Linked DNA regions of Bombyx mori. The protein of the gene in region 1 interacts with the protein of each later gene in a pairwise test. Links are inferred from orthologs where the notes say so. Each region holds a gene or a part of one and is shown in the gene's direction. Other genes may lie near its edges.

Evidence for each region.
Region 2: the proteins of dynactin subunit 2 (region 1) and growth arrest and DNA damage-inducible protein GADD45 alpha interact in binary tests that used the Homo sapiens proteins (3 or more experiments, as listed by UniProt). The link is inferred for Bombyx mori from reciprocal best matches to the Homo sapiens genes DCTN2 and GADD45A.

The regions. Positions count from the first base shown.
Region 1 is NC_085114.1:13,901,198-13,905,028, forward strand, and holds part of dynactin subunit 2, read left to right. Parts: intron 1-429; coding exon 430-536; intron 537-1,983; coding exon 1,984-2,100; intron 2,101-3,587; coding exon 3,588-3,663; intron 3,664-3,831. UniProt on the Homo sapiens protein: Part of the dynactin complex that activates the molecular motor dynein for ultra-processive transport along microtubules. In the dynactin soulder domain, binds the ACTR1A filament and acts as a molecular ruler to determine the length.
Region 2 is NC_085134.1:418,214-422,248, reverse strand, and holds growth arrest and DNA damage-inducible protein GADD45 alpha, read left to right. Parts: upstream 1-1,459; 5' UTR 1,460-1,927; coding exon 1,928-1,989; intron 1,990-2,146; coding exon of another isoform or gene 2,147-2,194; exon of another isoform or gene 2,195-2,209; intron 2,210-2,265; coding exon 2,266-2,482; intron 2,483-2,694; coding exon 2,695-2,910; 3' UTR 2,911-3,274; downstream 3,275-4,035. Other genes in the region: electron transfer flavoprotein beta subunit lysine methyltransferase, read right to left, coding at 2,147-2,194. UniProt on the Homo sapiens protein: In T-cells, functions as a regulator of p38 MAPKs by inhibiting p88 phosphorylation and activity.

The DNA.
Region 1 (3,831 bases):
TGGAACTAAATAAAATTGTTATTTTATCGCATTCTTTTCGACTGGACACGTGTGCCTGTGTACCGTCCTGTTTGTCGGCCTTACTCAGTTTATCGTTAATCAATTGCGAAGGAAAGTTCTGTTCTGCATCATGTCAAAATGGAAAATTAAAGTACTGTCATTAAGTAATAAACTTAAAATAGTGAATGCGTTTGAATCCGGAAATTCGCGAAATGAAATTCAGAGGGAGCATTAGCGAGAAACTCGGGTTAGTGAGAAACCTCTATAAGCGAGAATGAGATTGTGCTCCCTTGAACTCTCGCTTATCCAGGTTTGACTGTACAAAGTTGCAGACAGCAGTTAAATCGCTTGCTAGATGGCCAGTTTATCGTGAAGCAATGAAGCGGTCTTGCGTTTATGACACCCCAAAAATGGTTCATTTTTGTGCAGGAAGAGTTCTCCAAGTTGGCCGTACAAATCAACACAACGAAGAAACTTCTGGAAGAATTGAAACTTGAAGAAGGAGAACAAATTGACCCTAAGGCCGAGAAACTAAAGTAAATAGATTTATTTTTACAATAGAATCGCAATTCGGGTTTATCTGTCTGTTACTTATCAATAGACTCCTTGAATCAAGCCACGCTCCGCTGCGACCACGACTAAATGCATGAAATATTAAATAAAATCGTCTTACATTAATGTAACAATGGCAAGAACCTTCACCGAAGTTGCTAACAATTACAAAGTTTCTAGTCAAACAGATAAGCAATGTTCAAAACACACAAATATCAATTTTAATATTGCTAAATATGTAGATAGTACGACCGAAGAAGACGGATGGACTGTGTGAATGACGATATGAGAGAGAGAGGAGTGAGTGTTGAGATGACGGCTGATAGAAGAGAATGGAAGAGAAAAATTAGCTGTGCCGACCCCACCTAGTGGGATAAGGTGGAGAAAAAGAAGAAGATGTAGATAGTACGAGTTGGAATTGATTAGTTTCGTAATGCAGTTATCGATGTTTGCTTGGTGCATTTATGTACCTCAAGCACCGGTCACCGTTCTCGTCGAACCTGTCGCTTGTGACGAGGGGTTCGGCGAGCAAATTAACCCTCAGACACATCCCACTGTGTTTCTCGTCAGATCTTCTCAGTGAGTCGCGTTTCCCATTCTGCGAAGCGCTCTTGCTAGGGCTAATGGTAGCAAATTTGTCAGGTTAAAGTACGGTAAGCTCACCCACTCGCTTGATTAAGCTGGCATAACCTCTCAAAGTTACCAGCATAAGTTGGGAAAAAAGACGTTTCGAATATGATTTTATGCTGTTCCAAAAACAATAAATCATTCATTGTGAAAAAAAAACATTGCGGATTAAAGACTGTAGACAAATCCCTACTGTACTTACATTATGTCTTAATGTTAATACTTAGATCTCATTTCTCAAAGTTTATTATATAATAAAAAAAACATCATGGGTCAGTCAGTAAATAATGTTGCAAGCTTATTAAATAAATATGAAAAAATATATATACAGAGTGTCCCAGAAAGAATGGATAATCCTGAAACACCTCATAGTAGAGCTATTGGGGACACAAAATAAACAAAATTCTCAGGTAGTACCCTAATTACGTATTTAAAAAAAACTTGATATTGTCTATACTGCTGTGCGTTTCTGGAATATACAACAGCTACAAATAAATGAAATCCATAGGCTTTTTGGTGTTATAATATTCTACATAGACGGAATATGCAAGAAATCGTTGAGTAGCTAATGTAATTTTTTATAATAGTTAATCTGAACTTCAATTTTAATCATGAAATTTTGTTATTTTTTCTTTATTTTTAATTTGGGTATTAGGTACCTAACAAATATATTTTTATTATTTTTCATTTTGAGTCCCCAATAGCTCTGCTATGAGGTGTTTCAGGATTATCCATTCTTTCTGGGACACCCTGTATATATTGTATTTTTGTCAAAAGTGGAAAGGAATCGAACTGTAATTACAGGGAGTACCTGTCGTCGAACGGCAGGAAGAAGCAGGGTGAGCTGATCACGGCGCAGCTGAAGTTGAAGCCTGAAATAAGCCTCGCGCAGACCACAAGGGTTGCTCAACTCGAGCACAGGTAACGAAATAGCCAAACATTAAGTAGTTTCTATTGTGAATAACCAACAAATAATATTAGCAGATTAAAAAGTAGCCTATAGTAGAATTATTTTGTCCGTGCAGTTTGGGTCATAAAAAATCGGAGAGCGGTGAAGCGAGTATTTCGCTCTCTCTTCCACTCACGAGCCTTATGGACGGGCATAGTGATACGCATTATTGTCGATAAGCGCTATCGATAGTGTATTTAGTTTTGTCATTTTGTGGGTTAGTGATAAAAATGAAAGAAAAATCACTAATCGAACACTTACACCACATGCAAATTAACGAGAACGGCAGAAATTAACACTGTAACTTTTCGGGATCTATTCTCATTTCAGTGAAAAATTTTAACACATTGTTGATAACAACAAGAAGTCGTCGTGGCCTAAAGGATAAAACGCCCGGTGCATTCGTATGTAGCGATACACCGGTGTTCGAATCCCGCAGGCGGGTACCAATTTTTCTAATGAAATACGTACTCAACAAATGTTCACGATTGACTTCCACGGTGAAGGAATAACATCGTGTAATAAAAATCAAACCCGCAAGTGCAAGTGCAAATATTATTTTGAATAAACTCTAAGTACAAATGACTCGTAACATAACAATGTCTTACCACCCCGCCGCCGTGTACCTGCCTTCGATGACTCATTTGTTTTTATCGATAATGGCGTTACGCCCGCGCAACATGCTCACCGCCCTAGCCGGGCTATGTTTTATGACCCAAACTGCACGGACAAAATAATTCTACTACAGTTCAATAAATAACGATTTGATGAACATTTGCGCACTCCGGAGTACTTTTCTTACCGGTAATGTGTTGTGGAAGGTTCGTTGGCATGATGTATTTACTGTCACCGGCCCGTCATTGTATCCGGAACTCATAAGAATTTTTGACATGAACCCTTGAGACATGAGGTCGACGTCTCAATCATATTGTAAACCGGCTGTCCGACCTCACAAACCGACCGATAGGACCGCGGTGCTTGCCCGAGCAAGCTATATTGCCTTACTCTACTTATTACTACTAAATAACATTTTAATATAATTTTGTGAGTTACATTTTTTTTATTGCCTAGATGGTTGAACGAGCTCACAGCCCACCTGATGTTTAGTGGTTACCGGACCCATAGACATCTATAACGTAAATGCCGCCACCCACCTTGAGATATGACTTCAAAGGTCTTTTTTTTTTATTGATTAGATGGGTGGACGAGCTCACAGCCCACCTGGTGTTAAGTGGTTACGGGAGCCCATAGACATCCACAACGTAAATGCGCCACCCACCTTGAGATATTAGTTCAAAGGTCTCAGTATAATTACAACAGCTGCCCCGTTCTTCAAACCAAAACACGTTACTGCTTCACGGCAGAAATAGGCAGGGTGGTGGTACCTACTCGTGCGGACTCACGAGAGGTCCTACCACCAGTAAGAGTTAGCTTTTTCAATTTCACTTTTAATCTATAGATTACACAAATTAGAGCAGGCTGCCGGCGTGAGGGATGAGGAGGCGTTCCGACGACTCCAAGCTGCCACTGGACAGGTGAGCTGACACTTATCTGTAAAATGTAATTCGTGACAATGGAAACGATTCCCATTTAGTTTGGGTTCTGGCAATAAATGACAAACATTACGATCGAGCGTACATTTTTATTGTTATATATTCACGGTTAGATTTTAACATTATTCTAACAACTACGACGTAATGAAT
Region 2 (4,035 bases), on another chromosome or scaffold:
GCGGTGATCCTTGGAATAGAACCGTTCGAAGTATGTCACTTGTGCATGGTAATATTGACGTCAATATTATACACATAAATAATAGATTTTAGTATAGTAAAATTACATTGATCGAGAATAGTAATTGTTACCTGGTGTTAAATGATGAATATGTCTTTTTTAGTGCACTTAACAACGTGTTTCTTGATATTGGGTTGAGTAACACGACGCCATAATGCGAGTTTGTTTGTTTCTAACAGACGTGAAAAACAAACTCACTTTTGCATACAATTTGACTGCTTTGGATACACTAGAAATCATTTACGTTGCTGATGTCCATGGGCTCCGGTAACCACTTAACACTACGTGGGCCACGAGGTCATTGACCCTGCTAAGCAAAAAAATAAGAAAGAGTCGCTCTCACGTTCGACACTAACATCTCATGTGCTATAGAAAGTAAAAACTTCAAAAAAACACGGTTTTTTTAATTTACGTTTGAGGTAAAAAAATAAGTAGCTAATGATATACTCAAACTAACGTATTTATATGAATGTCTTCCTCCTCGCTCTGATGCAGGTAATGGAATTGTGGTGGAGACTATTAAAATACATCGACTTCTGAAGTTGGGTAGGTAGGTACAAGGATAGTAGTAACATTTTCACTGGACTTTTTGGCGGGAACGCGAGCAGTGAAGTTGTGTGATTTGTTTTATTTTGTCTATTTAGTGTTTCTTCAGGTTTAAATGTGTAATAACGGTGGTTTATTAAATGTTTAATATCTGTGAAAGTGCACCAATGTGGGAAAATGAAACAAAGCTGCTGGACGTAACTTCTCGGGTTCCTCCAAAAAGTCCACTGAAAAAATCTCAGTAAATGACCACCATTTTACTGCGATTATATTTCATCCCATATCATCTCATTTCATTAAATTTCATCCCAGTTGATTAATGTCTCAAATTAATCATCTTCATTTCATTTCACTCCATATTATCATTTTTCATAAAATTAAGAATATAAAGTAAAATAAGACATGACTTAAAGGTCTTAGTTACCAGGTCATAAAATCTCTTAAAAAAAAAAAAAACATTTTCACTACCTGCCCATAACTTCAAATAAATTCTATCCTGTCGTAACACTAGAAGAAATGCCCATTAGAAGTTTTCTCATCTTGCCGTCATGGCTCTACAATAAATATACTAAAGTCCTTGTACCTATTGAAAACGAATGTTTCATTACAAATAAAAAAACAACTAAACCAGAATCAAACCCAATTTTTGTTTTCAAATGAACCATATTTCCTCTGTTGAAATAAAAACCCAATGTAGCGGGAATTCCGATATTCTCCAATGCGCTTAACGATAACAAAAAATACCTTGACCTACCGTTCTGATAGTACCTACCCTTTTCTGGCCGCATTTACTTCAAAAAAGAAGAACGGGGTAGCTCCAACTAAATTGGTCCTTAAACAAGTCGCGACAAGCCACGCGTTCGCATTTCAGAAAAAACCACTCACACACACGTACCACGTGCCACGTATCATTATTATTATCTCGTATATACACTTACAGACTTACACTAGTTAAAACGACTCACACAACCGAAAATACAAGCGTTTTTCGAAGAAACTCCGACGAAACTGATCGGAGGATACGCACACATACAAATACTAGCGTGCGCATGCGCGGCCTTTCCAATAAAAGGGAACGCTACGTCACTTCTCCACATTCTACATTGAACATCCAAAGTGTACTAACGCGAGTTTCGTTAGCAAAGTTGTGAAATTATTGTGTCACAAGTTCGAATTACTGCGAGAAGTTCAAGTGTGTTTACATAATAGAAGGATTTTATGTAAAGTGTTAGTGCTTTCTGTGAAAATTCACATTCGGATTTCACTGCGGAGTTTGGAAATTAGTGAAATTCAAGAGTTAAGAAGCATTCGTCTATCCAAAATGTACAAGGAAGCAGTTGTTCCAGTAAAAGCCGAGACCTTCAGTGTCATAGCAGCTAAAAGGTAAATAAATATCTTAATACTTTACAGCTACAACAGGAAAAATTCAATATGCATAAACTAAAATGAATATTTCACAAGAATTTCACTTGACCTAGATCAAAGAACTTTAAAGTTCTAATAACTTCAAACATGCCAATTAGACTATAAATTGACGTACCTTATGCTTTTGATAATAATATTTTGTTTGTAGTATGGCGGTTAGCATCTCCGTTTGACATGCAAGAGACTAAAGTTTTTGGTAACATATAATTTATTAATGTATTTGTTTTCCCACAGCTCTATCGGACAATGTATCAAGACAGTGTTAAGGCGAGCCTGTGTCGAAAAAAGGTTAACTATTGGCTTACTTCCCGCCATTCAATACTTATCGAAGAACTGCAATGGTGCATTGTTTTGCCTGACCGCCGAAGCCCCGCCTGGCGATAGTGCAACGCATATGCAAGATGTCCTCCTGCAAGCATTTTGCGTTGAAAATGATATTCATGTTATTAAAGTGAGTTTCATTTTATTTCCTTCTTCATAAAATGAATTATACATAGTTATTATTAATTTTATATGACAATTTAGTTTCCACGAAGTAAAAAAAGTCATTAAAATTTCCGACTCTCTAACAAGAACCTATTAATCGAATTTATAACGATTCAAGGAATTAAGTTAAAAGGAATCAAAATAAAAAAGCTAACAAATTCGTTTCTTTGTACACAGGTCGATTGTGAGACTAAGCTGAGGAGAATGCTTGGTTACTGCTCTCCCATGGACTTCAGTTGCGTGCTGGTACACTATCCGTATACAGATCCATTCACAGACAGTCAAGAAATAGATTTATCAACATTATCTGAAGCCGAGAGACAGTTGATCGACCACTGCGAATCAGACTGGGGCTATTCACAAATGCCCGTCATCAAGTTGCCCGAGAAGTGAATTAAACATGAGGATATTATTGTGAAAAGAAAATTTTGCGATATTATTTTTCAAGTAGGTCGCCATTTTGGCTTAGGCACAACGCCATCTGTTGTTTGGTAGTTGCATTAAGTCTGCTTGAGAATGTTTTGGGGTTTGTTTTGAATTAAAATAATTTAAAAATTGATAGAGAGCAATTTGTAAAATGTAGGTGCTAAACTGCTACTGTCTTAAAATGTAAAAGTGTTTTTTTCATTGTTTCATAAGATAGTTTAATGTAACGAAAAATGTATTTATTATATCTTTATACCAATTTCGTAATAAATCTTTTGTAAAAGTTAAAACATAATAAACATGAATAAAATTTTATTTTATTTGTAACAAAGTTTCTTTTTTTCCCGCTTTTTCCCCTAAATATAATCTTAAGTTAAAAAGAAAAAGATTCCAGAAAGAAGCACAAGCAAGATAGATACCCATGATATTGAACTGTCAATAATATCAGGACAATAAATTTAGATAAACAATTTAAATAATTAATTTATGGTAGGAGCATCGTATAATGGAATTTTAATAAAAAATATGCTTAAGGTTCATCAGAAATTGAAATTTAGTATTTGCTGGAATTCTTGTATTTATCTATACTTCATAATATTACAAATCTGAAGTTTGTTTGTTTGAACACGCTAATCTCAGGAAATATTAATTGGTCCGATTTGAAAAATTATTTGTGTTAAAGATAACCCATTTATTGAGGAAGACGGCTATATAACATCTCTCTAAGACAAGTGGAGCACCAATAAAGAATGTTTCAAAATAGGGGTTTACATAGCTCCTTAACATTCTATAATTCAAAAATATTTTCACTTTCTATGTAAATGAAGTAGATGTAAAATTTAGCGTTGTGCCAAAGTAACTATTCCACGCGGACGGAGTCGCGGGCTAAAGCTACTCAGTAGATAAAGTACAGAGTTAGCCTGGAGCAGCCATAGCAATGTCCTTCTCAACTAGAAAAGGAAATCATGGAATAATTCTGTACCCCATCTACATGAACGGGTGTTGTTTTGCTGCACAAATCTATGTAATGTACTATTTTATTCACATCAAAATAAATTGTAGGCTAGTAAAACTATAGCACAAACTGAGTTT